4 linked regions of the Rhinolophus ferrumequinum genome follow. The protein of the gene in region 3 interacts with the protein of the main gene of each other region in a pairwise test. Links are inferred from orthologs where the notes say so. Each region holds a gene or a part of one and is shown on either strand. Other genes may lie near its edges.

Evidence for each region.
Region 1: the proteins of SPRED1 (region 3) and IL16 interact in binary tests that used the Homo sapiens proteins (3 or more experiments, as listed by UniProt). The link is inferred for Rhinolophus ferrumequinum from reciprocal best matches to the Homo sapiens genes SPRED1 and IL16.
Region 2: the proteins of SPRED1 (region 3) and HPCAL4 interact in binary tests that used the Homo sapiens proteins (3 or more experiments, as listed by UniProt). The link is inferred for Rhinolophus ferrumequinum from reciprocal best matches to the Homo sapiens genes SPRED1 and HPCAL4.
Region 4: the proteins of SPRED1 (region 3) and NCALD interact in binary tests that used the Homo sapiens proteins (3 or more experiments, as listed by UniProt). The link is inferred for Rhinolophus ferrumequinum from reciprocal best matches to the Homo sapiens genes SPRED1 and NCALD.

Annotation. Positions count from the first base shown.
Region 1 is NC_046311.1:1,397,198-1,404,516, forward strand, and holds the start of IL16 (pro-interleukin-16), read right to left. Parts: upstream 3,012-7,319; 5' UTR 2,937-3,011; coding exon 2,897-2,936; intron 1-2,896. UniProt on the Homo sapiens protein: Interleukin-16 stimulates a migratory response in CD4+ lymphocytes, monocytes, and eosinophils. Primes CD4+ T-cells for IL-2 and IL-15 responsiveness. Also induces T-lymphocyte expression of interleukin 2 receptor. Ligand for CD4.
Region 2 is NC_046292.1:27,818,869-27,826,558, forward strand, and holds the start of HPCAL4 (hippocalcin-like protein 4), read right to left. Parts: upstream 3,009-7,690; 5' UTR 2,854-3,008; intron 1-2,853. UniProt on the Homo sapiens protein: May be involved in the calcium-dependent regulation of rhodopsin phosphorylation.
Region 3 is NC_046289.1:66,397,904-66,405,832, forward strand, and holds the start of SPRED1 (sprouty-related, EVH1 domain-containing protein 1), read right to left. Parts: upstream 3,003-7,929; 5' UTR 2,122-3,002; coding exon 2,090-2,121; intron 1-2,089. UniProt on the Homo sapiens protein: Tyrosine kinase substrate that inhibits growth-factor-mediated activation of MAP kinase. Negatively regulates hematopoiesis of bone marrow.
Region 4 is NC_046297.1:43,660,025-43,667,996, reverse strand, and holds the start of NCALD (neurocalcin-delta), read left to right. Parts: upstream 1-4,969; 5' UTR 4,970-4,987; intron 4,988-7,972. UniProt on the Homo sapiens protein: May be involved in the calcium-dependent regulation of rhodopsin phosphorylation. Binds three calcium ions.

The sequences.
Region 1 (7,319 bases), on a different chromosome or scaffold from region 3:
GAGAAATGTCAAAAATCAGTGAGGACACAAGTGTCTACTGTGGTTTTGATAACGTGTGGGAACTGAGAAGTGACCCGTAAGCCACCCCCGAGTGGGACATCAGCACGTGAAGCCGGATGCAGGTCGGCAGGACAGCATGCTAGGAGCACAGCTCGCAGTGACCCTGGGGGGAGCGCCACCTGCCTGGGTTGCAGGGAAGATGGAATGAGGCCGTGCCCACAAAGGTCCTAAATTAGAGCCTGGTGTTGAAAGGCCCTCAGGAGGAAGGAGGGGCTGGCGTGACAGCTGGATTTCCAGGACGCACACCGGGGGGCTGGCCTCCAGGTGTGGGGAACAGAGTCAAGGGCTCCGGACGTTTTCCCCCACCATGAAAAGCTTACTCCCTGAGCTACCAAGTCACCATGATTATTTTTAAAAAGATGCTGCAAGGAAAACAGATGGGTTGGAAGTATTCTTGCAAAGCTCAGAGCGTCTTGGTTCAGCTGGTAGGATTTGAAACGGTTCCTTTTTCATCCCTGCTCTAGGACAACATGCAGCTCCCCGTTTCCCAGCCCTGGCTCCCACTCACTCCCATACACCCTTCAGGAAACAGCGGGGATAGCACCTCCTCAGGGAAGCCCTCCCTGGTCCATCCACGAGGTCCGTCCCCGGTGAGGGCACCCAACCCCCTTTATCGTTATTAGTATTTCTGTGTGAGTGAGCATTTGTCTGACGTGTCCGTCCCCTGACAGCCCAGAGCCCAGCACTGCGGCAGAGAATGCCCTAAACAAATAGCTGAGAATGAGTTCCAACTGTTTGAGAAAGTGACTTCACTCTTTGTCTATTGAAAATAAATAGTAAGCGCGTGGTGGGGCGGGGAGGGCAATCAAATAAATCCGGCTACATCTGTGTTTGTCCCGGGCAATACTGTATGGCTTTCAACTCTCAAAGATGTCTGGCGGCGTCCCATGTGGTTTTCCTTTCTCCTTGGAAGGAGCGTTGGGGGGAGGGCAGAAGCACACAGTGGGATTCTCCTGGAACCCCTGTCCCCACTGCCCTGTGATGAGGTTCCCCCCACAACCTCTCCCTGCTGACCGCTGGCCATGGGACTCACAGGGTCCCCAGGGATCGTGTGCATTTCCCAACAGTCGGAATGGGGGCACCTGTGGAGACCCTGTGACCTGAGTCTCACTGGGGAACCAAACCCCCAGCCCAGACCGTCACAGGCTCAAAAATCTGCGCTTCTGAAACGGCTGAGCGGGGAGGGTTCTTAGAGGCCCTCTCTGCTCCCACAAGCTTCCATCCACTTTCTAGACAAGACAGTGAATCCCAGATATGGAAAGGGGTGAACCCAAGGTCACCTGCTATGTATGGATTTAACAGGACAGCTATCCACGCATTTAATCCCCACTCTTCCCTCAGCTGAACTCAGAAAAGGACTTAGCGTTACTGAGGGACGCTGAGGGGTGCCCCCAGAGTAGCCCCTGGCACCAGGCGCGCATCCACAGTGGCCACGGGTCCTGTGACAACTCACAGCGAAGCGTCTCCAGGATCCGCCCTCAGCTGAAGCCTTGCCCCGGCTATGCTCTGCCCCGGCGCAGCAACTGGCTAGGACATGGCACAGAGCCTCATGGGGGCACTGGACCCGACGCTCCCCTGTCCACTCCGCCTCCCTTGCCCCTCACAGGGGTCGTCCCCAGGGACACTCAGCAATGACCTGCTTACACACACATCTCTGGCTCAGAGTCTGTTACTAGGGAAACCGACCAATGCAGCCATGGACAGGAAGTGGCCAGACCTCCCATGAATAAAATGGTTTCAGGAAACAGGGGGCACCTATAAAACCCAGGTCATGTCCAGCCCACAAGGACTCCTCAGTGGAAGTAAACGCACTGTGTGGTCTGTGTCCGAAGGGGGACGTTCTCAATGCTTGGCCCACTTTCCACAAGAGGGAGGCCAGGGCTACCTGGGCCCCGAGCCCCGTGCTCTGTGAGGGTTACTGTGTCCCGTTTAGGGGTGCTGGCCTGTCTGCACACATCATTCCTCTCAGACATGACTTCTACAGGCCTGGGACGTGGGGGCAGAGAAGGAAACGGACACCTTTCCTAAAACCGACTAGCCTGCTCCTCTCAGCGCAGGAATCCACCCCAGGGGGCCCGGTTTTGGTCCCCATGCTCCATTGCCTTCCCTTGGGGTTCAGACATGCCTGAATGGAACCTGCCCCAATGGGTCCCTGGGTTCTGGCCATTCCTCCCCCATCTTCCCAGAGCTGAAGAAGTCAGAATGCACCCTTCACTTGCCTTGTTCTCTTCTTTAAAGAAAACCATGTGTTTACTCTCTTATGCCAAAGTTACAACAGCTGACGGTTTGCCAGTGTTGACTTTAAACGCTGGGCAAAGGGGTTAAAATCCTCCCTGATGCCTGTGTATACTTCTGGAGTAAACGGAGCAAGAGGTTCTAAAAACCGTCTCATTCGCTGGGCTGCACCTGAGGGTACACAGCCCCCTGTCCCCCACCCCACCCCGCCCCGCCCAGGGCACAGACCTGGGAGGCTCAGCCGGTCCTGCTCCCCAGCCCCCAGGAGCCCAGCTATGGGGATCCTGTGGGCTCAGCGTGTACACCTTGCGCCTGCCCTGCTTTGCCAGCAACACTCAGACGGGGTGAAGGGCAGAGAAAGCTTCTGCCTGCCAGGGCTCTCTCTCATCCCCTTGGGGGTCCGGCGACGCACCGCCACCCCCACCTCACCCCCGCCCAACAGCCTAATGAGTGCTCAGCCAGCCTCTGCAAGGACAACAGACAGGCGCACACGTGCACACTCCATGCCGGCGCGTAAACAAAACTGTGCTCCCCCCACCCCGTGCGGCTTCACACCCTGCACCCCACCTCCCACGGGTCCCCTGAGAAGAAGGCCACTCACCACTCTGCCTCCGAGGGAAGATCCTCTTCTGCAAACTCATCCTGAGGGCCCTGGGGCCGGGAGGCCCCTCTGAGCAGATTCAGAAGTCCTGCTTGATCCTCCGCAGCTTCTCGGGCTGGGAGTATTTGAATAGGAGTTAAAACTACAAAGTAACTCCCCGTTAGAGCTGTTCCCCCCCTCCCCGGCAGGGAGGGAGGGAAAAATCACTTCCCCTCTGCCAGCAAGTCTTTAACGGCTCAGGGCAGCCTCTTCCAACTCCTGCCCTCCTTGCAGAGCAATGTGTATAAAAGCGATGTTATTTCACTGAATCAAGCCCTCAGATCATAAGCTTTTTCCTGCACCGCAAACAGAAATGTAAAACCTCAAACTTTCCTTTGGACTCGGAGTGAGTTGAGAGGGCAGAAGACAAGCCTGTCTAATGTATGGAGACGTCACTCACTCCACTGCTTAGATCATCCCAACCGCGCACCGCTCCCCCCACCCAACGTTTTCTTTTTTTTTTTTTTTAACGAGTTCTGGTGTGTTTATGTAATTGCGAGGGACAAACACAACACCTAAAATCCTTGCCCAACATTGAAATGATTCATTTTCTCCTTCACACACACCACACACAAACACAGTGCCTGTTTAATCCAAGTGAAAACGCCTTTCATGAAATCTGCAAAGGGCTGGGGCTGGGCCACTCACGGTGAATGCAGCCTGTGTCCCCAGAAGGGCAGTGGCTCCGGGAAGGTGAAGGCTGACTTTAATCAAGGCAAACAGAAGGTGCCCGGACTGCCGCCCACGTCAGGACGAGGAGGGACGACCAACCCTGCGCCCGAGCCCTTGGGGACCTGGGCTCCGGAACGTTTGCAGCCTGATCTACCCAATTTTCCCGGCTTGCCTTTCCATACCAGGATAACTTATTTTTAAACTTGGACAAGGCATACTATTATTTTAAATGACCAATTTGATTGCCGGGTTAAATAAATCCTCAGATTTCCCACCGAAAAGACCAAAAGGATATACAATACATGGGCAGAGTCAGAGCTGAAAACTGGGGCAGAATGTGAGGGCTGGGGACACAACAGTGTGAGAGGGGACGGAACGGAAAGCTTGCCGTTCGACAGAGTGTCACCAGGAAAACTAGTGAGACAGAGCCGGGTCCGGTTTAAGTCACCTGTTTATGCACCACCACCTAAACATACAACACCTGTCACCTGCCAAGTGTCCCAGGCCTTCCTGGGATGTCCCTCCCCAATCCCCCCACCTGTGGTTGCCTCGGGTTTCTCCACCCACGTCATTCCCACCTCTAAGGGCCTCGAGGGGGTCGGGTCGCAGGCTTCAGTCGCCAGCATTTTGCTCAAAGCCAGGCCAGGCCGGTCACTGCGACCCTGAGCCCCCCAGTCCGCCCCTACGCACCTTGAACAATCACTCCTCCAGGCGGTGCTGCGGTGCCAGCTGCCAGAGAAGTCCAGCTGTGGGTACCTGGAGTCAGAACAGCCCCCATGAGTCACCGTCACCCCACAATGAGGTCCTGGAAGCAGAGCTGGCCCTCCCTTCCCTGCTGCCAGCTCAGCCTGCTCTGAACAAGTACTCAGGCCCTGAGATTACACGCCGCTGCCTTCTAGTGGTACCACCTGCCGCACCGCACAGGTGGGACACAGGCTGGGTAAGCGGGGACGGTCTGCAGAAACTCGGTGACGTGATAAAGTACGTAAGACTGAGTGTCACAGGAAGGTCTGCCTATAGTACTCCAGGAATCAATCAGCTCACAAACTCAGGATGTGGGAGACGATCCACATACACGACACAGATTAAATTTGAAGAATAACACTGAGGGTATGTTTGTTTTCCCTCCATGCGCTTCCCAATATCCATTTGGGCTTTCCAACATCACTGTGTTATCCACCCCAATTCAGGGAGGAGCGGGAGCTTTCCATTCATACCACTTAGAGGATGATAGAAAAAAACATTTTAATTTAAAAAAAAAAAAAAGGTTTTCTAAGTCAAATCATTGCCTTTGGAACTCCTAAGTAGACTGTTAAATCAACAGCAAAGGCTGTAATTTTGAAAGTCATGGCGTTTGATCATATGAATCAAGCCTTTGACAAATTATTATTTGCTGCGGTCGGCCCCTCCAAATACGTCCACATCCTGTTGTGGGAACCTGTGACTACGTTATGTTACACAGCAAGAGGCAGTTAAAGTGGCAGAAGGAATTAAGGGTGCTAATCAGCTGACTTTAAAGGAATTTTCTGGATTATCTGGCCCAATGTAATCACAAGGATCCCTGAGAATGCGAGAGGGAGCCAGAAGAGGGGTCAGACCCAGAGATACTTGAAGCTACGCTGCTCGCTTTGATGATGGAGAAAAGGGCCGTGAGCCAAGGCTGCAGGTGTCTCCAGAAGCTGCAGAACTCAAGGAAGTGGAATCTCCCCGCAGCTCCAGAACGGAATGTGAACCCTGCCGACACCCGATGACAGCAGGCGAGACCCAGGCTGGACGTCTGACCTCGAGAATTGTCAGAACGTAAATTCGTCTTGTTTTAAGCCACTGCTTTTGTGGCAATTTGTTACAGCAGCAATCGAAAACTAATACATTTGGGTTTGTTTATATTTTGTTCCTTCAATGCCAAAAGCTTGGTTTTGATTACAGAGAGCAAAGCCTGGAGGATTCAAAGCACAAAATTTATACCATAAACCCATAGATTTGGGAAGAACATATGATGATAAAAGAACAGTGGTTTTCTCTTCCATACGGAGATGAAAGGCTGCCCAGCTGAAGGGAGGATGGGGCTACTTTAAAATGACAAAATCAATTTTCCGTCATCTGCAGAAATGGGGTCTAAGAGTTTTAAGTTCAATTACAGAGACATAAGAAAGGCTGCGTGTTTATACACGATTTTCCCCCTGTATATAGCCTACTAGCTGCATGTCCAGATATGAACAGAGGTTATCTCTGGCTAGTGGATTATGAGTGCCTTTTATTTCTTTTACTCCGTATTTCCTAGTTTGTTTCTTAGGGGGAAAAAGGGAGGAAAAGTATATGTACACATGGGAAGCCCTAGTCCTGGCAGGCCCGAGCACTCCCCACCCACAAAGCCGCCTCTTTCCCTGCGCCGGGGACTGAAAGAACAGCTGTTTGTCACTCAAGGTCTGCAGCAAAGAATGGGAGGTCCTCCTCTTACTGGTGAAACCACCTGGGGAGAGATGCAACCTCTGGCATCCATGTTCCAGCTCTCTGTCCTCCTCTCGTCTCTCCTGCCCCCACCAGCAGCGCCCCCTTGCTGGCCCTGCAGGGCTCAGGCCTAGGACTGATTGCTTACTCAACCCCCACCCACTCAGGAGGCCCCTGGACTGTGCTCACGTCAGAGGGCTGCGTCCTCTTCCTTGGCTGGCTCTTGTGTCCCCCAGCCCGTCAGCGTCATAGACAGACACCTCCCGCTGCAAAGTGGGTCCTACCCCGTCGGGAGCTGCTTCTGACCAGGCAGCCAGCATGCCAGAGGCTTAGAGGGGCTGGCGGCTGAGCCCACAACGACCCATCTGCTGCGGATGCAGGGTCTGCTTGCCTGCGCCAAGCCCTGAGTCTTCCTCCCCCTTCCCGTGGGATGGCCCAGCGGCCATTCCCGCTCCCGGTTCTGCTGAGTGGCCCTGGCGCCTGCCCCTGACCGTACGTTCCGTCTCGTGTGGCGGTCTCCACGTGGAGACTGGGTATGCAGCCTGTCCTGCTCCATTCTTCCGAACCACAGCTGCCGCCCCCCCAGGTTCCAGCACAGCCTCCTTCCCTGGTGGACAGCTGGGACCCAGTCCAGCTCCCCCAGTCCATAGCCCACCATGGGTCTCGGTGGTCCCTGGGGCCAGGCCCACAGCAGCCCCGGCGGCACTCCCCACAGTCCACTTCCTCCCGTTTCCCTTTCCTGGGCCCCGAGCTCCCTGCTGATGCTGTCACATCACATTTAACACTTCAGAAAGGGCTGAGACATCCCCCAGAGAGCATCACCCCCAGGTCACAACCCTTTGAGGCTCCCTCCTTCTTCTGCATCAGGCCCTGACGGCACGTGGCCGGCTCGATGGATGGTGGGAGGTCAGCGCTGTCTCTTGAACTTGGCCCCTTCCCACATTCTCACGGATGGAGCTGCCACACTGCATGGAGGGACATGTGACAGCTCGCAAGATAGTGACCCCGAGGGAGCCTGGGTGGCTCAGAGAAAGCCAGTAAACTATTTTCCAGCCTAACGTGTAATCATTAACCTGAATGCCTACATCCCCCAGGATGGTAAACGCAGCTAAAAATCAATTTTCTTGTTCAATCAACCCACTCATTTCTAAATGTCCACTGCCTCTAAAATTTACTTTAACACTCAGAAAATTGCAGACAGCCTATTGTGCCAATGTATGGCATTCAAAATGCTTTATAATTTTTGAACATTTATTTTAAGGAC
Region 2 (7,690 bases), on a different chromosome or scaffold from region 3:
AGAGCTCCTGGAACAGTCAGTGTCTTCTCTCTCTCCATAGTCGGGGCCAGGGGCACAGCTAAGGAGGCTGAAATACAGCTGGGGAACTGCTTGCCAAGCTATGCCCGTGGGCTCAACGGCCTCAGACGGAGTGCCTTTCTTCTGAGTCCTCTGTTTCGAGGGAATGTCTTTCCTGCTTTGCCCAGAAGTACAATATAGGTTAGAGATGGCCCACATGCCCCCTTAAACTCCAGAATCTCGTGTCAAGGTGCTTGACTGTCTAGCCTTACCTCCCACTGCTTCCTTCACAACTGTGTACTCCTTTGAAGCCAAGTTTCTCACAGCCAGAACCTACCTCACCTAGTGCTTAGCCGTTTTCTTCCCCTAACATCCTCTCTTCTCTCCCGGGCTGACACAGCTACAATCAGCCTGCAGGTCTAACTGAAGCCCACTTCTTATGATCAGCCTCTCTCAGCCTGGACAGTGGACAGTCAGCAGCATGGCACAGTATTTTGGGCATGAGTAGACCCTGTGAGACCATGGAGCTGAGCCCCACAAGTATGTAGACTTCAACGCCCTCTGACCCTCACCTGGTGCTCTAGAATTCTAGGATGGAGACTGATTTGGAAGAGGCCTTTGCATTAAACTTTTGCCTGACCCTCCAGAAAAGTTCTCCAGGTCTTTTTGCCCAGTGGCAAAGAGCTTATCCCCTCCCAATATGACCCAGTCCTCTTTGGGGCAGCTCAGACAGGAGAAAGGTATTTTTCCCATTGTTCCTAACTTTGCCCTCTTGTAGCTGCCCCTCTTGGGTTCCCACTCTGCCCTCTGTGGCTGCACAGAACCACCCTGCAGAGACCTAAAGGCTATGCCTGGAACCCAGCAATGCTCACTGAATGTTCCTTGGTGGATTACATGAGAGGGACAGAACCCCCTTCTTCCTCTGTGGAATGGCCTCAGGCTGTTGTTTTATCTGTATTCTCCTGCCATTTCATCCACTTAAGGAGAAATAGAAGCCAGACCTGGGGAAAGAAGGGTTCACCCAAGGTCAAGTAGAGTCCATCAGCAGCAAGGCGAAGGCCAGAATGCCCTGAGGGTATGTTCAGTTGGTGCTGTAGCCCAGCTGACCATGTGCAGGCTCCTCTGCTTACCTCTTGAGGGCTGCCCTCCGGCTGTGAAGGAGCTGGCACTGCCCCATACATAAAGCCGCTGCCCCTCTTTACCCAGAGGCTTCTTCCAGAGGGCAGGGCTCAGGGTTGTGGGCTTCAAATGGGGAGGTGACAGTGAGGGTGGGAGGGACTGAGGGATGCAATAATCCCACACCTCACCCAGCTTCAGAGAAGCTGGTGCTGAGACGGTTGCCATGGTGACAATAGCTCCCTGGTCAGGAAATTTTTCTCTTTCCTCTCCTCCCTTTGCTCTTCTCCAAGCAGCAGCCACAGCGGCAGCAGCCACCTCTTCTCCCTCTCCTTCTTAATGAGAGGCAGGGTATGATAAACAAAGGGTGGGCCCTGTTGGCCACCTTCAGCTTGGAGCTACCCATGGCATGTGGGCTGCTGGTCTAGGAGGGATTCCTAATAGCTGTCAAGGGGCCCAGGCCTGGAGAGTGTGTGGGAGGAGATGGTCTGGATGTAGGCCTCGTTAAGGAGCAATGTCCCTTTGCTGAGGACTAAAGCCCCTCAGGCCTCTTCTCTGAAATATCTTCCTGGTTCAGGGAAAGAGAGAAAGAGTCCTGTTTTCTCAAAATCATCCATAGAACCAGAGTGTGTCAGCTTTGGAAGTCTGTTCAAGATCACCTCATCTAGTCTCCCCTCTGTTCTGACCCCTTCCCCATTTCATGAAGAATCAGAGAGGGAAATGACTTGACCAAAGTCAGACAGCACTGAGGCAAAAGCAAGATTTGAACCCAGCTCTTCGGCTCTCCAGGTTTTCCCCTTTGGGGAAAGGAGTGACAGTTCATATGGAGCTTTGGCACAGTCCCTGCAGAGCAGCAGGAAGATAGGAGAGAGGGAGCAATTGGGTGCAAGAAGGCCAGAGAGGGTACAACTTAGAAAGACATTTGAGAGGTAGAATGAGAGGACTTGGTGCTTCGACTGTGGGGGGTGAGGGGAACGGAAGAGGCTGGGCCCTTGGCAGCAGTGACTGACAGGTATGGGTGGTCTCCTGGGGGATGGCGTCCTTGTTTCATCCTCCAGCCAGGATGAAAGAGGCCAAACATGGGGCCTCTGCCTAGCACTAAGACCATGGGGAGGGGGCGCTGTTGAGAAAGTGTCATGAGGAGAAGGGGGGAGGGGGGTGTTTGGGAGGGGAGCTTCTTCCCTCCCCCAAGTATGCTGTGAGCTCTGTCAGCTTGAGGGGTGGGAGGAGAGGACACTGTGCAGTGGGAGGGGGCTTTCTGTGGAGGTGGAGGCGGTCTTTGGGAGCAGGGACCTTGTAATGTGAAGTGTGTCGAGCTGCTGCTGGTGCTGGATGATGAGGGCGGGGGGCCATCTCTGGAGGTGGGAGGTTGCCATGGGACTGGGTGGACTACCTATCTGCAAAGGAGAAGGGGGACTAATGCCTCCTCTAGCATGAGCATCACACTTCCAGGCGTGTGTGTGTGTGTGTGTGTGTGTGTGTGTGTGTGTGTTGGGGGCCAGAACAGTGGTTGTTCTTACCTGAGCTAGGGGTAAGGAGGCATCTCTGTCTCCTTTCCTGCACCCATGGGGCCTGGACTTGGGTGAGGGGTTCCCTGGCCAGGAGTGGGCCCGTCAGACGCTGCCACCTATGGCAGAACCAGGGGTCTGGGAGATGAATCAGAGGGGCAGGAGACGAGCATAGGAATGAAGAGTGGAGGGGAAAGGGACAAGGGCCTCCTCCCGGCCCCTCCCGCATTACCTGAGGCCGCTCGCCGGTTTGCTGGATGGCTCCGAGCCTCGGCGGGCCGCAGGGACAGAGATTGGCTCGCGGGCTGGCGGCCAGGTTCTCCCAGGTCCGCGCCGGAGCCGCCTCCCAGTTCTTGTATCACTATGTCTCCCGGAGGCGACACGATTTGCATAAGCCCCGCCCCACCCCGGGCAGATTGGGCGTTGATTGGCTCCGCTCGGGCGGAGTGGCAGGCGGGGTCTCAGGTGGGGACCGGGTGGCCAGTGAGACCCGGCTGCGGGAGCGCGCCCCGCCTGCCTTCGCTGACATTCCCGGAGTCGCGAGGAAGGGGGAGGGCTGTACCCCCTGAGGCTCAGACCCCAGGCCACAGTCTGGGGTGAAAAGTGTAAACGACTGAAGTGGATTCGCAAAAACAACCGCACGGTTACTATGGAAACGAGAGAGCCACAGCCGAGTCTCTGAGCTTTCCCTTCCTGGGCCCCAGCGGGGGTGGGGATGGAAGAGGGGATGAGTCACAAGATGTGACCCCCTCCATATCCCACCCAAAATTGGAAGAAGGCGACAAGGAGCTGCCGAGGAGCTGAGTGGGGAAGGAAAGAGATGGGGTGGTCCGCAGCTCACACCTTCGCATCACACATCCCCAACACACCCACTCCCCTCACGCGGTGGATGGGAAAAGAGGGTGGATGGGCGCCGAGAGCGCAGTACGGATGGCGAAGTACCCACTCTCTGTCTGGTTCCTCACTAGTCGTGGGCTCTTTACAGCCCCTAATTCCAAGCCCTCCCCAGCCTTCCTTATTTCTCATGGACCGCCCCCATAAGGCACCTCGAGATCTCCCCAGAAGGATCCCTCTGCCTACTCCATGGACCCCTCCATTCCCCACCCTCCCGTCTTCCCGTTCTGTAGACGGAGCCGGTCCCTAGCCGCCGCCAGTCTCCGGCTTCGGATGTTGACACAAACCCGAGGCGGTTTATACTGAGAGGGTCTGGAAGGTTTCAGGGCCCCGGGAACACCTCCTCCTCGTCCCATTTGGGTCTCCCCAAAGCTCGGCTTGGCCTCCCCGACTGCACTGGCAGCTGAGAGTTCCCGACCCAAGGCTGTGGGAAGGAACCCTTTTATTCCAAACTGGGGGCGAAAGGGGAGCAGACAGCCTCAGGGTGGGCCATGTGCAGTGGAGGGACTTCTAGGCATCTGTCAAAAGTGTGGCGGGGTGTCTGGGGATTGGTCCAACGGAAGCGGGGATGCTGAAGAGCAGGGGGGGAAAGGGGCTTCTGCTGTGGGAGCAAAAGTTGAGGTGGGCGGGGCAACGGGGGGGGTGGGTGGGCAATGAGGACCCACCTGCCAAGAGTGGAGGCAAGGCTTCTCTGGCTGGTCCTAGAAACTCCCACCAAACCTCCTTGGGGAGGAATCAGAATCAGTGGATCTCTCTCTTTCTCTCTCTCTCCCCCCCCTCCTTCCTTCCCTCCCTCCCTGTCCCATTTTCCTGGCTGCAGGGTATGTCTTCTCTCTGGGGCCCTGGCAGCATAAGAGCACTACCTGGACCTCCAGTCATCAGGCATATCCCTGGCCCCTGTGGTTGATGACTCACGAAGGACAGGTGTTTGAAAGTCCTGACTCTGTCACTTCCTGAGCACCTTCTTTGCTCTGTGCCCTGGAGACCCAGATATGGGCAAGGACTCATTCCTGTTCACAGAGAACTATAACCCAAGGCAGGAGGAATTGAGGAGAGGCAGCAGGGGTTGCTGGAAGTGGTATCTGAAACTCTAAAATGGGTCCCATCTTTGCCAATGACACCACATAAGACCGTCTCTGGGCCTCCCAGTCTGTAAAACGTGGGAGCTAGTAGAGGAGGCCCAGGAGAGCAGGGGAAGAATTTCAACTAGCAGGGTGAAGAAAGGCTGTCACCCTGGACAGAATGATGTGGGCATGAATCTGACTGTGCCGCTACACTTGTGAGCTCCTTAATAATAACTAACATATAGAGAGAACTTACTTTGTGCCAGGCATTATCCTAACACTTTATACATATTACTTAATTTATTCCTAATAAGCACGCTATGAGGCAGATACTATTATTACTCCCATTTAACAGATGAGGAAACTGAGGCTCAGAGCAGTTAAACAACTAGTCCAAGTTCACATAGCTAGTAAAGATGCAGAGCTGGGATCTAAACCCAAGCAGTCTGGCTCCAGAGCCTACACTTCTAGCTACCACACAATACTGCCCCCTTTAAGATACTTTAAGTCCTTTAGGGGAAAGACCTTGAATTGGAATATTCTTTCTGATTCCCGAAGACATTACAAAGGCAAAGCCCTGCCTCCTGGGGACAGCTTCTCTGTTTCAGGTGAACAAGACATGGGATTCCAACAGCAGCAGTAGAGCTGGCAGTCATGAACACAGGGATGAGCCCTCCTGCCCTGCAGGGTGCCAGCCGGTGCGTGGCTTCTCTTGACTTCCCCACGCTAGGCTCTGGAATCTAGCATGGGATCCAGGAATCCCAGGTAAGCAGGAGAAGGAAAGTAAGGGGTAGTTTGTGAAGCAGGACCTGCTCTTTGAACCAGGCAGGACCACCCACGCAGCCTCACCCACGAATCATCTCAGGGCCTGTGAGTATAACTGAACTGCCAGTTGTGACCCATCTTCACCTGCTCATAATACTTGAGACCCTGATCTTGACCCTGCCTCTGCTCTTCAGGTTTGACATTGATTGAGTCGCTTCACTATATACCAGACTCTCTGCCAAGTCCTTTATCTGCATTATCTCACTTAATCCCACTTATCACCACTGCCAGGGGTGACATTAAAAATATCTAACAACCCTGTTCAGCACGAGCATTACCAATCAGAACGGATGCTGGCCTTAGTGCTAGAGCAAAGACTTACTGTGTTTCCCCGAAAATAAGACCTAACCGGAAAATAAGCCCTACCATGATTTTTCAGGATGACATCCGCTGAACATAAGCCCTAATGCATCTTTTGAAGCAAAAATTAATATAAGACCTGGTCTTATTTTCGGGGATACACGGTAGCAGGTCTCTGTTTTGCCAAGAGTTAACAGTTTAGTTATTGGATCAAGAGGAGCAGGCAGGAAAAAAACTAGAGAGGTGGGGGTCCATGGGCTACTGCTACCGATTTACCAGTCAATTTAGAAGTATTTTAGTATTTTAACAGCCAGTTCAGCTGTACCAGTTCATAGGGACTGAATTTCAGCCCTGGTATTATTACTTTATTTCATGGCAGTGGATGGAAGCTCAGAGAGGTTAGACAACTTGCCTATTGTAACACAGCCTGTTAGTGACACAGTTGGGACGCCAACCTAGGTCTGACTCCAAAGCCCACACTCTTAGCCACTGACTGACCTGTGTTCATGGGAAGGGGCAGTGTCCAGAACAGAGCTGGGGTTTCCATTGTTCTGCAGCTAAAGGCTGAGCCAGAGGGATGAGGTTTAAGTTCTGGAGCTTTGTTGTGGCCTTGTTGTTCTCAGGCTTGGAGGCTTGGCATCACCTGTTCCACACTGTTGAAAGAGTGGGCCCTGTAGAATGAGGGCAGAGCAGGCTGCATGGAAGAAGGAAAGTGTGCTTGTGCGGGAAGCCCTAAAAAGAGGCACAGAGGGAATTGAGGGTTCAGTGAGGGCAGAGGTCTGTAGGCAGTGGCCACTTCGATTTGCTTCAGCAGAGTGCTAGCTAGCTTTCTTCCCCTCTGGGTCCTGAGCAGGGCCTTTATGATGGATAATGCCTTCCTGACTCCCTGGGTTTCCTCAGCCTTGGCGAGTGCAGCCTGGTGACAGCTGGAATTCCCCTGGGTCCTAGATATTTCACAGTCTTCTTTGTGGCTGGGAGAGAGTGAGATCACCAGCTTTGGGCTTCTTCCCTTTCTCCTATTGGCTAAGCAGGATTTTCTTTTCTTTAATTTTCCAAAGTAGAAATAATCTTTTTTTTTTTTTTTTCGGTCTGGTTAATACATGGTGGCTTAAAATTGATACAGAGAAAGTGGAAGTACCCCATAATCCCTTTCCTGAGCATTACCTGTAGGGGACCTTGTGTTTTTGCCTGCCCTGCCTTCATTGCCCTCCTGCCAGAGAAGCCCTATATTGTAGAGGGTTAAATGCACACACTCTGGAGCTAGGCTACCTGGGTTTGCATCCCAGCTCATCATTTTCCAGCTGTGTGACCACAGGCAAGTTGCTTTACCTCCCTGTGTCTCAATTTCCTCACCTGTAAAATATGGAATAATAACAGTACCTATTTCAAAGGGCTACTCCGAGGGTTAAAATGAGTTAATAAATATGCAAAGTGCTTAGAACAGATTTTGCTTCAGGGGATTACCCAGCCCAATTGTGTACAGTGTAGCTGGGACTATCAATCCAGTTGTCCTGCCTTCCCATGGACAAGGGCTGGGCATGAGACTTAAGTAAGGCTAAGTAAACTCTCTCTTTTTCTCATTCTCTCTCTTTCCTTTCCAAGTTAATCTGCATCTTGAATAAAGTGACTCAAGGATAGTTATCACTGGTTTATTCTAGGGCAGTGCTCTGATGACACTGTTCATTCATTTCTGCTATCTGAATCCCCAGGGACCACTCTGGTACGTGTCCTTTCCAAGATCTACTTCTGCTTCTCCTTTGGTTCTGTGAGCCACTTCACATCCCTACCCCAGCATTTCTTTTCTCCTTTCCTCTCCTTTCCTTTCTTTTTTCTTTTTTCTTTCCTTTCCTTTCCTTTCTTTTCCTTTCCTTTCCTTTCCCTTCCCTTCCCTTCCCCTCCCTTCCCTTCCCTTCCCTTCCCTTCCCTTCCCTTCCCTTCCCTTCCCTTCCTTCCCTTCCCTCCTTCCTTCCCTTCCCTTCCCCTTCC
Region 3 (7,929 bases):
TAAATAATAAAAAAAAAAAAATAAGGCAATCCTCCCAGTAAAAATTGCCATTTGGTATTTCAAACATCAACATTGTGGGGATTAAACCACTGGGAATATTTACTCATTTTTCATGTAACAGCATTCACTGACCATCACTACACCAAAAAACTTGCACTCTCAATTTGGTCCATGGCAAGTCTTACAAAAAAGAGCCCATTTATAAACAATGTATTTACACGTGTTAATTCACATTCCCTCATTTGTTTTTCTGTTAGCTGCATCCAACAAGGAGGTATTCAATATATTACTTTAAATATGGTAATTAGGTTCTTCCCACCTCTAAAATAGAAGTTGACATTTTGATCCAAGCTACTTTCTTAAAGATACCAGTAAAAATTATCGTCATTTCCGTTCAGAATTTTCAGCAGTTTTTCTCCTAACTAAGCGTTATCTGAGATACAGTACTTCTTGATCTCTCTCAAAGTAGGTCTAATCTGCGGAAGGCAGTGAGACAGAGTACTGCACTGTGAATGGACAGCCAGGTATTTTATGAATGGAGGCGATCACGTGATCTCAGCACCTCCCCCGAACTGATATTTCCCACATAACTGTGTCAACATTCTGAGAACAGGGGGTAGTTGTTTGTGTCAGTGCGTATGTTTTTTAATTTAACCTGTAACTTCGAATTCTCCTTACTTTGCCGAACTCAAAAATCTACATGAAGACAATCAAGTTTCGAGTATTTTTCTTAGGAAATTCTTTCGAGATGTCCAAGGTGATGGATGTTTAATTATTTTTTTATGAATGAAGAGTGTGCTATGCAAATGAGGGCGATTCACAAAAAGAGAGAACATGGCGGCCACTTCTGATTCTAGACTGCACTGACACTGCAGCAATCTACCTTCTCCCACACCCGCTCATCACAAGAGTGTTTTGGGGGGGAGGGGAGGAAAGAGAAACGCTGCTTGGCATTTCTCAAGCTATTTTATGTTAAAACAGGTCCAAGCTTTGGACTTTAAAGGTCTCTCAAAAAGGTCTGACTCGAGGAATGCACTTTATTTAAGGGACTAGCCCTCGCTCACTTTACTCTTTCCAACCCTTTAAAGATACACAAAACTTGAACTTAATTACAAGACAACGGTTGCTAATATTCTGCATGCAATTAAATCCCCGTCTCAACAGAAAGTTGTCGTCGTACCATTCATTATTCCTCTAGGCAGCCGTTACGTTACAGCAAAATATTTAGGTGGCAAAGTATTCCGTTTGGAAAACATAAAAGACAGGCCAAATAGAAACTTTAACCGGGATGGTCTAGAAGTTAATCGATGAAGTCATCAACATGTTCAACAAGGTAAATATGTTAAATCAATGTAAATGGTGTATTTTAATATCGCTGAATAAAAATTAGCATTCAAAAATCCTTCTATGCTCGTGATAAAGACATGTCCAATGTCGGCAAAGGTAAAATATAATAGTTCAACGTCTCCCATACTCCATGTGTCCTTAATCCTATTAAATTCTAAAAATGTTTCTCCAGCCCTATTTTTTACAAGAATCTTACAGGTCATAAGTTTAAAACAGGAGGGGAGGGGGATGGAGGCTTAATCGGTATTAAAGAGTCACTGACTCATCGAATTAAGATTCAAGAGAGTTTGCTGCAGGAGGTGCTCCCACACATCAGTTTCCAAGTGAAACAGCTATAAAGACAGCAGGATGGATATTCAGGGTGTGTTGATCGGTGTGCTACAGGGAAAAAGGACAGGCCAAAGGTCTTTCAGGCAGAGGGCTAATTTCTACCCGGCCTCCATCCATCCACACGACTCCATCTCCTGGACGTAAACCTGCCATCCCACCGCAACACTCAATACCCTTCCCCAGAAGAAAGCCACGAAAAGAGGGGGTGGGGTGCGGAGCGGGGGGTAGGGTACTGCCATTAAATAAAATGGCTCAAGAAATCAAATGCTATCTGCAGAACAAGATGCACCGAACTCTGTAGGGCTGCAAGCTTGCCAACACCCAAGTCTCAGAGGGGTCTGGGGAACAGCGGAGGGAGGCTGGGTGGGTGGTGGTGGTGGGGGGGTGTAATCAGGATCAATGAGGCGCTTACTCGTTGTCAGAAGTCGCCGTCTCCTCGCTCATCTTTCCCTCACCGTGATCCGATCTGGAGATGGAGGAGCAACAGCAGGCGGAGGAGCAGCAGCAGCACCGAGGGGCAGGAGGCAGAGGCAGCCGGGGAGGCGCGGGGGCAGCGGCTCAGGGGCCTCACCATGGTGGATGCCTCACCCGGAACGGTGCCCCCCCAGCCGGGAACCCCAGCCACCCCCGCAGGGGGGTGGCGGCAACAACCTCTGCCGTGGCGACCCCAGCCTCTTCCCTCGCCTCAGCGCCCAGCCAAGGGATCCGAGGAGGCCGGGAAGGGTGGGTGGCAAGGGAAAAAGAAGGGGGACTGCGAAGGCTGACTGGAGAGCTGCTCCTCTGGCCACTGGGGTGGAGCGAGGCGGGGTCCGGCCAGGAAGGAGCGGGAGGGCGGGCGGAGAACCCGGGAGCAGAGGCGGCGCTTCCCTCAGGGATGCGGTGAGGAGGAAGCAGAGATCCCCTGGGTGGGGGCTGCCGGGGGGTTGCCGAGCCCAGGCTCCGGGCGGCGGCGGCGGCGGCGGCACGGTCCTGCCAGAGCCCACCCCACCATCTCCCGCCTCGCCGCCGGCTGCCCGCTCAGCCCCCGGCAGCGAATGGGGCGGTCCTCAGGAACGAGCAGGATCGGGCGAGGGGCCTCGCGGCGGCGGATTCCTCCAGACACTCCAGCCGGGACGACTCCACAAGGGGGAGGAGGGGGCGGCGGGGAGTGTGTGAGGCAGGCGACCCGATCGCCCCCACCCGGGCAGGCGAAGAGCGGGAGCGTCCGGGGAGCAGGGTCCCGAGAAGCGGCTTCGGGGCGAGGAGAGCGGCTGCAGGTTCCCCGTCAGCCGGTGCCCACCACAAGCTCGGCGGGCCAGCTCCTCACCTCCTCACGCCCGCCAGAGGGGAGCCGCGAGGGGGGCGGCGGAAGCGCTCACGCCGCCCGCTCCTTCCGCCGCCGCCGCCGCTGCCCGAACCGGGGGCGCCCGCGGGAGAAGGAGGCGAAGTAGTCCCTGGCGACTTCTCCCGGCCGCCGGCTTCCCCGGGGGCCAAAGAGAGCGTGGGGTGGGGTTGCCGAGCGGGGTACCCGGGCTGGGAGAGTGTGTGCAAAGGAGGACCAGAAGCTGCGGGCTCCGGGCGAATCACTGCAACTCGAAGTCGTGTGCAGCATAGCAAGTTTCAGGAAAGTAGTTCCCTCCTCCCTTCATTTCCCAAATCGTTGTCGAGCCACTGAGCGGGGAGAGGGAGGAGGGAGGCGGAGGGATACGCCAGGCCCCGTGCTCGGTGTGCGTGCGCGCGCTCCAAACTCTTGGCACGCCGCGAAAGGGGCGGGGGTGTGAGCTGCACTGGGAGCTGCTTGGGAGGTTGCATTGTTGCGGCGCGGTACTCCCCGTTACTCGCTTTGGAATATCCGGTTGTTTGAACGAGCCGGCTAGAATGACAGTGTGCTCAAGGAGGAAATTGGAAGCTACTCTTGTCTGCCGTGTGTGTGTGTGTGTGTGTGTGTGTGTGTGTGTTTGCAGCGCAAAGAATGGAACTGGCATGAGTTCATCTTTAGTTGGTGCGGGTTAAAGGAGGGACTGTACAAAGAGAGCTCCGCCTGCTGTCCCTCTGGTTGCATTGCTGCAGCCCCCTAACTGCATGCACATCGGGAATGAGTGAGTATGTGTGTGTGTGTTACAGAGAGAAAGAGTTAGTTGTAATACCTTGGATTTTTACTGCGCAAGGGGTATGCTGTGCAGGGCATTCATCTCCGAAAGCTAGAGTGGTTGTTAATGGAGAACGACTTCCATTGAAGCCCAGGGTAGGCGTGTTACATGAATCTGGCGCAGCCTGAAGCACAGGAAATAACTCCTGCTGCGAGTGAGGTTGCATAACTATAGCGCAGAAGATGCCTCTGTGGCACGAACTGCTCTGAACGGAGGCGGAACGAGTATTGAATAGGCAGCTGTCACGTTTGCATTGTTAGAGGACAATGTATGCATTCATCTCAAAAGGTTTTTGCACAGAAACCTGCTGGGGTTTTTAGGTTGGAGTATAGGGTCAACCGGACCAGAGGACTGTGAGCTCTGCAAATTCTATTCTCTCTTCGCTACCTAGAAAGCCAGCCTATACAAGATCTGGCCTGGGGGACTGAATCCCCAATGCTCCCAAGTTTCTGACCCATCTTCCTAGGCAATCAGTCTAGCTTTGTGCGTAATGCTTTGCTCTTCATTCTGAGGTTTGTGCACCCTAGCAATGAAGGTTGCTGCTCCTGCCACCTTGAGGGATAGAACAATTTCGGAGGAAGAAGAAAGAGGGAGAACTTCCCAAACATGCCAGCATTCCTCTTTTTCCATCTGTCTTCAGGAAGTTTCCAGAGTGCTCTCATGAGCTGGTACACAGGAGCCGGTTAACAGTGTTCTGCGCATAGTAGGTGCTTAATAAATGTGTGACGAATGAATAAAGGAGCTCAACCAGTCAGTCTGCCCAAAAAAGCATCCCGTTGATTTCGGAGGTTTCTTGATTCCTGCCTCCGCAAAAGCATTCTCCTTATTCAAAGCGAGGATGGGACAATGTTGGTGACAGGAAGAGGGGATCCGGGATAATCAGATCGGACCTCTGTTACCTCTGAATCTGAGTTGTTTTTTGTTTTGTTTTATTTTTTATCTTGTTTCTGTGACGAACCTATAACTGGCAGTGTTGGTGCTGGCCTGCACTCCTTCCAGTACGACTGCTAACCGCTTCAGCTGCTCAGATTTGAATCAAGTCCCATCAGTTATAATTTGTGTTCTAGACAAGTTACTTAAACTCTGTGCCTCTGTAAAATGGGAATAATAGAACCTAACTCATATAGCTACTGTACTGATTAATGAGGTAACGATATACATTAAGCACTTAAAACAGATTAAGAGCTCAGTGAGTCCTAGCTCTCACTATGATTTTGTAAAACAGAGATAATAATAATCTCCACGACAAAGCCGTGCCAGTTGCTCTGAAGGTTTAATGTAAAGCATTCAGTAGCCTTGTTCATTCATTCAATCAATAATTGGCTTGGTTTTTTTTTCTGTGTATACCACTGTTGCTAGACACATAACCTGGCCCTTAGTAAGCCATCATTTTCTTTTGAAGATTTGTATCTGTTTGAGGTTCAAGTGCATCAGGGAAATGATCAATACCAGGCTTTGAGAGAAGACAGGAAAACTGTCTCGGCTGTCATGTGCAGAGCACTATGCTGGCCACTTGCATTTATACTGCTTACCTAAAAGGGCAAGACATGATCAACAGCCTGAATGAATGCTTTTAGATTGTTCCCAGTCCTGCGATCAAGACACAGTCACCAAACAGTTCTTTTTTGAAAGTAGTCCTCGCTTAATGTCGACAGGTTCTGTGACTTTTTTGCGAAACAACGTCTAACAAAATCAGTTTACCATAGGCTAAGTGATAGGAAGAAGAGTGAAGTTCCTGGGGCATGTCATAAATGTTATCACAAAATGATGTTTGGCAAAATGACGTTATTTGAGGAACTGGTATCCACTGCAAGGACTGCTTTAATGCAGATTCCTAGGTCCCGCTCCAGAGATTGATCTGCAGATCTGTAATGAGGCTAACAAATCTGCTTTTTCAGAAGTATGCCGGGTTCCCTTAGCCCTTCGCAGTCTACCCCCCCCCTTTCCTACTTGTGTCATCACATCTCTGAACACATCCCTAATTGAAGCCCAACACAAAAGAGGGTGGCCCAAGGTAGATGATAGGCCAAGGTAGACACTGGCTAAGGCCAGAGACCTGGTGCAGCTAAGGAAGATGGACTCAACAAGATTTGAAAAGCTGTGTGAGAAGATAAATACAGATCACAGTTTCACCTTAAGTTCCAACTCCATGCAGTTGGTTGAGCACTAGTCCAGAAGGATTCTGTGGCCCCATCAGGGTTAGGAGTACAAGGAACCCTTGTGTTTGCTCGCTTGTATTATCTCAAGAGGGTCTGTGGCAGAGGTTGGTCACAACGGCTGGTACTCACAGGTAGCTCTCAGTACAATTGTCCTTAGCTTAGGAATTAGCTATGGTCACTTAACACTTAACAACCTGTTATAGATGATTTATTATCTAAAGCATCCATGAGCCAACAGTACAGTTGCCAGGTAATTGCCACTACAGGACATCATCAAAGTTAAGAAGGTGCAAGTTGGTTCTGAGTTCCAGGCAGAGTTAACAAAACCAGCAAGGTGGCCTGAGCTCATGGAGGCACTGGAAGCTGGCATGCAGCGCCCCAATTCAAGGCTTTCTCCCTCTTTCCAGACCACTCGGTCCATAGTGATCATCTTTCTTATGAACTCAGAATTTGTCTTCTCAAATACTTTTATTTTTCCCTTTACTGTTTGATGCCTGTGTTAGTAATTCTCTCTCCCCACCCCCCTTTTTTTCCTAATTAACTTTCATTAATATGTGTTTGTTTTTCCAGTTTCATTTTAAGTGTCTTGAAGGCAAAAGCAACATTTTATATTTTTGGGTGTTCTCTTCAGCACTGGTTTTAACTAATGGAAGCTTTTCAAGTGAAACATGGTGCCCATTTTTATACATTTGTGTATGTATAAAAATGAAACTGTATTGACTGACACGATGTAAATCAGGAGTCCCCTCTGGCCTCCCATTGTGACCTGAGTACTGCTGCAATTCAGCATTTCACACTGTGCCTTGCACTAATAAGCTCTCAGCAGATATATGTATACTTGCAAAGCCAAAAGAGAAGAGAGCCATGCCAACTGTATATAAAATACATGTTCATATTTCACTTCTGAAACTACTTTTAACATTACCCCATAGTAGATGTTATTAAAATTTTGTATTTTAAAACTGTAGTTAATATGTGCCTAGATCAAAGGGGATACTATTTTCATGCTGTACTTTGTTTAATGAATGACTTTTTTTTTTTTTTTTTTTTTTTTTTTTTTTTTTTTTTAGTGTAACCAGTCTCTTGGCTAATGAGCTTTGCCTCTCAGTGGAATTACTAAATGGTAACCATGTTTCTAAATAGTTTCCTTGCCTCTGGCATGAGTCTGTTTCTCCATCACTAGGGTTTCCATGTTCTTCCAAACCAATACAAAGTATAAAGAAATAAGCTATTTTATTTTTCTCCCAAAGGACTTCAATTGTTGGTCTGGTAGTATCCGGTGAGTGTGAAATCAGTTTACTTTTAATGCTATAACTGCCTTTTACAGGAAGTTTCCACAAGATTACAACAAGTACAAGGGAAATGAGCAGTCTGCGATTTCCTTTATTTTCAGTATAATCTTAGCAGGGAGGATGCTTACTAGGCCCCACACTACTAAATAAAGCACTCCTCCCTTACCATCATTCTCCCAAGTGGTTTTGGCATGCTCTTTCTTTGAAGGTTATATCCCGTTACAACAAATATGAAGTACTGAAATATCTGTCACATAAGATTTCCAAGGCCATGTGAATGCAACACAAATTCAGTATACAACAAAGTGTCTCAGTGGTTCCTTGGATTTTTTTAAAAATGGAATTTGACTTCCCTCTGAGTGAGTAATAATAATTAACCTTCGTATAGGAATATAAAACGTACGATGCCCCTCAGGAACTTACCTTCCTAACACCCTTGCTTGCTAGGTATTATTATCAACTCCAATTTACAGAGAGAATTAGGAACTGAAGATCAGAGAGGTTGACTTGCCAGAAGTCACACATTAATAAGAATGTGGCTAGCACTCAAACTCACATTTTCTCCTTCAAAAGCTCGTGTGTGTATGTGTGTTCGTGTGTGTTCATATATATAACCTGTCAAAGATGGGATCCTTAGTGGGATATTCTTTCCATTTCAAGTCATTATGACTG
Region 4 (7,972 bases), on a different chromosome or scaffold from region 3:
CAGAGTAAGTATGTATTCCCCTGCTCCCCATTAGAGCCTTTCCACGATGTTTCCTCTGTCTAGCTCCTTCCCTAGTTGTCCCAGCCTGCACTGTTATATTTTTTATATAACACTCATCTGATATATATCTCCTTTCTCTCTTCCTCTCTCTCTCTCTCCTCCCCTCCGCATTATATAAGTCTTACCAAAGCATGGATCTCATCTGTCTTGTTTAGTGAACCCAAGAACCTAGAATAATTTCAAGCACATAGGAGGCCCTCAGGAAATATCTGTGGAGTAGATGAATAAATACATGCTATTGTTGGCCTAGCTAGTCTAAAACATATACACTCAGTTGCTTCTTGACAGAAACTTGTAATTCAATGTCCAAAGTTGACCAAGTGCCGTGGTGAGAGAGCTGTCCCAGCAAATCAGACCTCTGGAAGCAGGAGACTCTGACCTTGAGCCCAAGACCAGTTGTCTCAGTGTTCCCAGTTTCCAATATCACAGTCAGGAACATTTTTAAAAGTAACGTCCATGACCAGGTGGCTCAGGCAGTTGAAGCGCAGTGCTCCTAACACCGAGGTCGCCGGTTTGATTCCCACATGGGCCAATGAGCTGCGCCCTCTATAGCTAAGATTGTGAACAACAGCTCTCCCTGGAGCTGGGCTGCCATGAGCAGCTGGAACTCGGTGTGAGCTGCCCTGGGCTGCCGCAGGCTGCCGTGTGCTGCCAGGAGCAGCCAGCAGCCAGTGTGAGTGGCCGGCGGCCAGTGTGAGCGGCCGTGAGCGGCCGAGCGATGACTGGCGACCGACTGCCTCAGCCGGGGGAGCGCAAGTCTCATAATACCAGCATGGGCCAGGGAGCTGTGACCTACACAACTAGACAGAAACAACGGCTTGAACCAGAGTGAGGGGGGAAGTGGAAGAAGGGGGGGAAAAAAGTAAGGCTCAATATTCTGGCATAAATCTTTGTGACCTTGAATCAAGCAAAACACCAAAAGCACAAACAGCAAATGAATACATAGATAACTTGTGCTTCATCAAAATGAACACCTTTTATTCTTTAAATGATACCACCAAGAAAATAAAAAGACAACCCATAGAATGGGGGGAAATATTTGCAAATTATATATCCAATAAGGGACTAATAGTCAGAATATATAAAGAACTCTTACACCCGAATAATAAAATGACAACGCAGTTAAAAAATGGACCAAGGATCTGAAAAGACATTTCTCTAAAAAAGATAAACACATTAAAAGATGATCAACATATCAACCATTAGGAAAATGCAAATCAAAACCACAATGAAATGCCACTTCATACCCACTAGGATGGTATAACTTACAAAAATGGCAAGTAACAAGTGTTTGAGAGGATGTGGAGAGATTGGAACATTTACACACTGGTGGTAAGAATGTGAAATGGTGCAGCTGCTTTGGAAAACAGTGTGGTCATTTCTCAAAATGTTAAACATAGAGTTACCATGTAACCCAGCAATTCTATCCCTAGATATACACTCAAGAGAAATAAAAACATACATCCACATAAAAACCTATACATGAATGTTCATAGCAGCATTATTCATAATAGCCAAGAAGTGGGAGCAACCTAAATGTCCATCAACTGATAAATGAATAAACAAAATATGATATATGGGATCATGGGATATTATTTGTTCATAAAAAAGGAATGAAGTAATGATGACATAAATGAACCTTGAAAACATTATGCTAAGTGAAAGAAACCAGTCACTGACTTCATAATGTATGAACACTTCATTTATATGAAATGCCCAGAATAGGCAAATTTACAGAGATAGAAAGTAGGTGGGTGGTTGCCAGGGCCTGGGGGTTAGGAGAAAGAAGGGAATGAGTGCTAATACTGCGGTTCCCTGAAAATAAGACCTAGCCGGACGATCAGCTCTAATGCGTCTTTTGGAGCAAAAATTAATATAAGACCCGGTCTTATTTTACTACAGTAAAATAGTAAATTTTTGGATATAATAAAATATAAGACTGGGTCTTATATTAATTTTTGCTCCAAAAGACGCATTAGAGCTGATCGTCCGGCTAGGTCTTATTTTCGGGGAAACATGGTGGGTATGGCATTTCTTTTGGGGGTAATCACAATCAGTTCTAAAATTGGTTGTGGTGATTGTGGTGATAGTTGTACAACTTTGTGAATATACTAAAAACATTAAATTGTATGCTTTAAATGGAAAAATTGTATGCCTGCAAATTATATCTCAATAAAGCCCCCCCTTTTTTTTTAAAAAAAAGCAGAGATCATTAAAGCAAAATTTAAAAATGAAGAAAGTGGTTTTGTAAATCACTGTTTCTCAGAGACACAGCCACCCCCAAGCACTGCCACCTTCCCACAACTGCCCCTGACACACCAGGGTTCTTCCCGCAGTCTGTAGGCAATGACCAGCCCTACACTGTCCAGACCACAGCTGACCAACTGATAACCTGGGGACCCCTTGTGGCCTACAAACTCTTCTTTCTTGGCCTGCAGAGTGTTTAAAAGATTTAAAAAATTAGTTATCAGTAATTTAAAATGAGAAGAGTTCATATTAAATGTAGATTTCTGGCTTCTCTGGAAAAACAAAAACAACAAACAACAAACAGACAAAAAAACTCAATTTGATGGCCACATTGGACCTGAATTTTCCCATGTAGGAAAACGAGGTTGCCCTCTTGACAGCATGATGCCCTTCCCAGTTTGCCCCTGTAAACACCGCCTAAGTTACTTCTTTATCACTGCTTCTTAATCCTTTAGGGACTTTTGAGTTGGCAACACCTACCTGGTCAGTCCGTTACCTGCCTCAAAACTTCCTTGTTCTATATCTCATTGCCTTAGGCCTTTTTTGATGATTGGCTAATCCTGGGTTTCCAATCCTGGCTGTACACCAGAATCTCCCAGAAACCAAGGAAAAAAATCTCCACGCCAGGCTGCACCCCTGACCAGTTAAATCAGAATCTCCAGGAGAACGGCCCAGGTCTAGTAGTAGAAAACAAAACCCCATCGCTCTAAGTGATTCCAATGTGTATTGATCCAGGGAGGCAAGGCAAGCCTTTGGGTTAATCTGCTAATCCAATTCAAGAAAAAGTTTTAGTGTCCAATAATGGTTTACCGGCTTCTCAGATACCGTCTTTTGCTGTGTATAATACATACCTTTTTGCCCAAATTTGTGAGAAAAAAATAAGGATGTGCATTATACATAGGTCGTACTAATTCTGTGTCTATATAAATGTTTTTAATTCTTTTATTCATACTTATGAGTTAAAAGTGTAACTCTAGATATCAATAACGATATTCGTATGCAAAATAATATCCTGGAATACGATAATCAATTTTGTTGAACTTACAAAAAACTTGCAAATATGAAGAGTTCTTGGCCCTCTTTGATGCATAAATATCGTAAATTTGTTACTGGTACATAAAATTTCTTGTACCTTCTATCTGTTCTTGTGTTTTGTAATCATTTGTTACATAAAATTTCTTGTACCATAATATGTTAAAAAAATAAATCCTAAAATTCCTTTATAAAGCAAAAAACAAGTACCTAAATATAAACAAATAAAAATTTGAATTAAAAAATTAAAACGAGGGGCGGCTGGTTAGCTCAGTTGGAGTACAGTGCTCTTAACAAGGCTGCCAGTTCCATCCCCACATTGGCCACTGTGAGCTGCGCCCTCCACACCTAGATTGAAACAACTACTTGACTTGGAGCTAATGGGTCCTGGAAAAACACACTTAAAATAAATAAAAGTTGAAAACAATGCATTAAAAAAAATTAAAATGAAACATTTTTTCCCCTGAAAGTTTGGGCCAAAAACGTGGGTGCACATTATACACAGCAAAATATGGTAACTTTATTTTTCAAGCATTGCCTGAAGGAGTAAATGATGTGGAAATTGAAGGCAGAACTAAGAGGATGGTTTCAGTCTGGTGGACCTTTTACTTGATTTTCAAATCAGAATTGGCAGCTGTTCGACCTAAATGTAACTGTCATTTCTATTACTAGTCATATTAGAAGATTTCGTAATTATTACAACAAACATGGACAGGTCATGGTGCCCTTATAGCTTTACATCGCGCCTTTTTGTTATTTTTAACCAGTAAAATTTTAAATCAATGAATCTATGTTGCTATTGAGACCTGCCGTGGGAGTTCTGGAAATGTCACTGGGGTTGACAAACACAAGAAGTCACTGTGACTTTTTGACAGATCATGAGTGCCCAACACAGCAAGACAGGAGCGTGTGCTGGCAGCCACTTGATAAATATAGGTTGAATGAATTGACAAGATATTTGCTTAGCATCATCTCCAGTCGATGAAAGATTTGGTGACATTCTGGAGTGGACGATGGGGTGGGGGTGGGGATAAGAGGTCCCCTTCAGATGCCCTCCTCCTGAGTTTCTGTTAAGCCATCCCTAGATGACAGAAAGCATTGGTTAGGCAAGAGCAGCACCCTAACACCTTGTGAACATGTCCTTCCAACCCGCCCCTCCCCCTTGAATTCAGTACAACAAGCAGGGATTCCAGCACCTCCATTCCTCACCGCCCTCAATCGAAGCCTAGAAGAAGGTGCTGTGGGTTGAATCTGACCTCCCTCCCAACCCGAACAGGCAAACAGATGTCATCCCTTGGAAAGTGCCAGTGCAGCCCAGCCAGAAGCCTGGGAGGTTGGCTAGGGCTGGGGGGCACAACGCACATAAGTCCGGCGGCTGCACCCGCTCAAGGTGGAGGCGTCTACTGCACCTGTAAACCCCGAGCCTCAGCTGACACCCCCTGCACCCGGGGAGAGGCTGCCTGCCAGGCCGCAGGGGGAGTGGGGGTGGGTGGCCGCGAGGAGGGAGGCAGAGGAGCGAGGCTGGGGAGGGGGGCGCGGCAGGCGGCGGAGCTGTCCAGGGGGAGGCGGGCGGGGGGAAGGCGCTGCCGCCGCCGCCGCCGCCGCCGCTTTGCCAGCAGAGACACAGACGCCGGGAGCAGCCAAGGCGGTGAGTCGCAGCGCCTGCTCTCGGCTTCTTCGGAGCCAGAGCAGAGTCGGAGTCGCAGCCGGGGCGAGTGTGCTGGGGGCGGTGGCATCGGGAGCGGCTGCTGGGGGGACTGGTGCGCTTGGGGCGCGGCTGATACACGGGTGGGCACTTGGAGCGCGCGGTCCTCGGGACCTGTCCCCACAGTCCTTCCCGGGTTCATTTTCCCCTGTCAATTCCCCAGTCCTTTCCCCAATGCCTCAGAGGTAAAACAAAACAAAACCAAAGACCTTGAGGATGGGTGGCAGAAAAGGAGAGAGCAACTTTGCAGAGGGACGCTCAGAGGCGAGCGGGGCGGGCAGGATGGGGGCGCGCTGTGTCGGAAGGGGGCGTTCGCGCGCCTGGTGGCCCGGGGATCTCCAGAGCATCCCTCCGGGGCGGGGGTTGGGGTCGAGTACACTTGCTGGTTCCCGGGCCTGAGGAGTCGGTTCTGAGGGGCTAGAGGAGGCGTGTGCGAGAGGTGGGGGCCCGGGAAGGGGGCTTTGGGAGCGACGGAAAGGCGCTAGTTGAATGCAGAGGAGGAAGTCGTCTGTATTTTGGACTCAGGACCCGAAAGATTTGCGTCTCTTGCTCTCGGGGACTCGGGAAGGGGAGTGCTAGGGAGATGTGTTTGAGTGTTTTTCAATGCATACCGATTTATTTTTAGCTCCAGAGAAGCAGGATGTGCAAAGTGGGTTGTATCAGCCCGGGAGGGGCAGGAGGTCTCCCTGTCCGCAGGAAATACACAAGTTTCTTGCTGCAGATGCTTGCTTTAACTTTCATGCCCGGAGAAAGAAAGCCATTTGATTCCGAAGCTCTCCCAGCCAGGGCCACTTTCTTCCGGCATGTCTGTCTGTGGCTGTAGACCAGGCCTGCCAAGTGTGTTAAACGCTGGCCTCAAATGATGGTATACGTTCTGTTCATAGAAAAAACTAGTGTGAAACACTGAAGTAGGTTTGCCAAGGTCTCGCTCGCTGAGAAGGAAACCACACAAGCTTGCTCAAAGTTTTCCCAGTTCGGTCTGATTTGAAAATAAGACTTAAACAACTGTTTTACCAAGAGCTGGGTTCTCTGTCCTGATTCCTCAGACCTAATTGGCAATGCTTGTGAGGTTTTTCACTCCAATGGGAAGATGTGGTTTAGGGTCAAATGCAGGATGCAAGGACGGACTGCAAAGGAGAAAGAGGTGGTGGTGTGATGGTGGGACTGTGGGTGTATAGGGAGACCACTGGGGGCTAAAGACAGACTTGGGGAGGGGCTTCCTTCAGAGGAGAAGGCTCAAGAAGCTGAAACCCAAATGTTCAGGTACCCAAGCCAGACCACTGGAAAGCATCCAGTCCTCTCTAGGAGTGTGCTAGGGCGATGGGCTGGGAGAGGTGAACTTTGCAGCCGGACTTCTGGATTTGAGTTCTGGCTGGGACATGAAGAGCTCCCAGACCTTGGGCTCATTACTTAACCTAACCTCTCTGTGTTTCCTGATCTGTGGCATAAAGTTGATAATAGTACCAAACCTCCCTCAGGTTTATTGTAAAGATAAAATGAGTTAATATAAAGAAAGGACTTCACACAGTGCCTTGTCATTAATAAGTGCTGCACAAATTGGAGCTCTTATTATTTTTGTTGTTGTCATTGATTTAGTTCATGATCTCATAACTTCTTGTCTGAATTGCTCCAACTGTCTTCACGCTGGGCTCCTTGCTCCGAATCAGGACACTCGTGCTCCAATGTGTTCTCCAAACTGCAACTAGAAAATAAAAATCTAAGCCAGTCATTCTGCTTAATTTCCTTAAGAGGTTTTCTGTGGCTTTCAGGATAGAGTTTGGACTCCAAGGAATTTCACGACCCCACCCTTGTTTCCTCCCCAGGCTCACTCATCTCCCAAGCCTCCCCATGTGTAGCCTCAGCTCAAGCCATTGAGTCTCAGCACCTGCCATCGTCCCACCCTTCCTTGTCTGGTCAACTCCTATGCATTCTTCCCTACTCAGCTGCAGCCACACTGACTTCCGGCAGACCTCTTGGTACCCGCTCCTGGAGCTGACTGAGCTGTCCTTACTTCATGTTGACACTTACCCTGCATATACCCCTCCCATCACTGTGCAGCACCATCCACATGTCAGTCTTCCCTATCTGCAAGTGGCTTGACAGATGGATTGGGAATGTCAGCAAATGTGTGTTGAATGAATAAATGAACATCAGTCAAGCAAAGTTCAGTCAGTTTCACTAAAGCCAGAAGCAAACATGGAGAATAATAGAGAGGATGACCAAACCAATCTTTATATATACTACTTTAATAAAAAAAAAAAAAAAAACTTTGGGCAATATTAAGGAATCAAAGGTTGGCCAAAAGGAATCTGGCATACTATCTTGGAACCATTTCAGAGGTATTTATTTAGTTATTTTTTAAGCGTAAGGGTTTAGACTAACAATGGGGAAATGCAGTGATCTGAACTCTTTCCTCACTTCCCTCATAAAAAGGTCAGACATCTCCGATTTGGTGGTGGAGGATGCAGGTCCAGCTCTCTGAGGTGAACTGATTCAGTGGATTTTCTTCTGGAAGCAGAGGTGAAGGTCACCACATGAGCATGGTAGCTCCTTGGTGGGTTGTAGCTCCCCCCAGAGTGTGGATTTCTGTTTGCCCTGGGATTGGTATGATGAGAACAGGAACTCTCCTCTCATCAAAGCTCCTTTTTTACTTTTCAGGGATTCAGTGTGTTCTGGGGTACACTTCTGACTGAGGTGGCATTTCCAAGAGCTCCATTACTGGGCTCCCAGGAGCCCTGTGCAGAAGGAGATAAGCTGGTGCCTGGTGCTCTGGGACAGCCTCTGAGTCTAGTTTCAAGGCTTCAGAGCAGGGGTTTGTACAGCCAAGAGAGCAAAAATGCTTTTTACAGTTTTATAGTGTTGTAAACAAAACAAATCCAAACACAAAGAAGAATACGTGATAGAGACCATGCCTAAAAGTCTTACTAC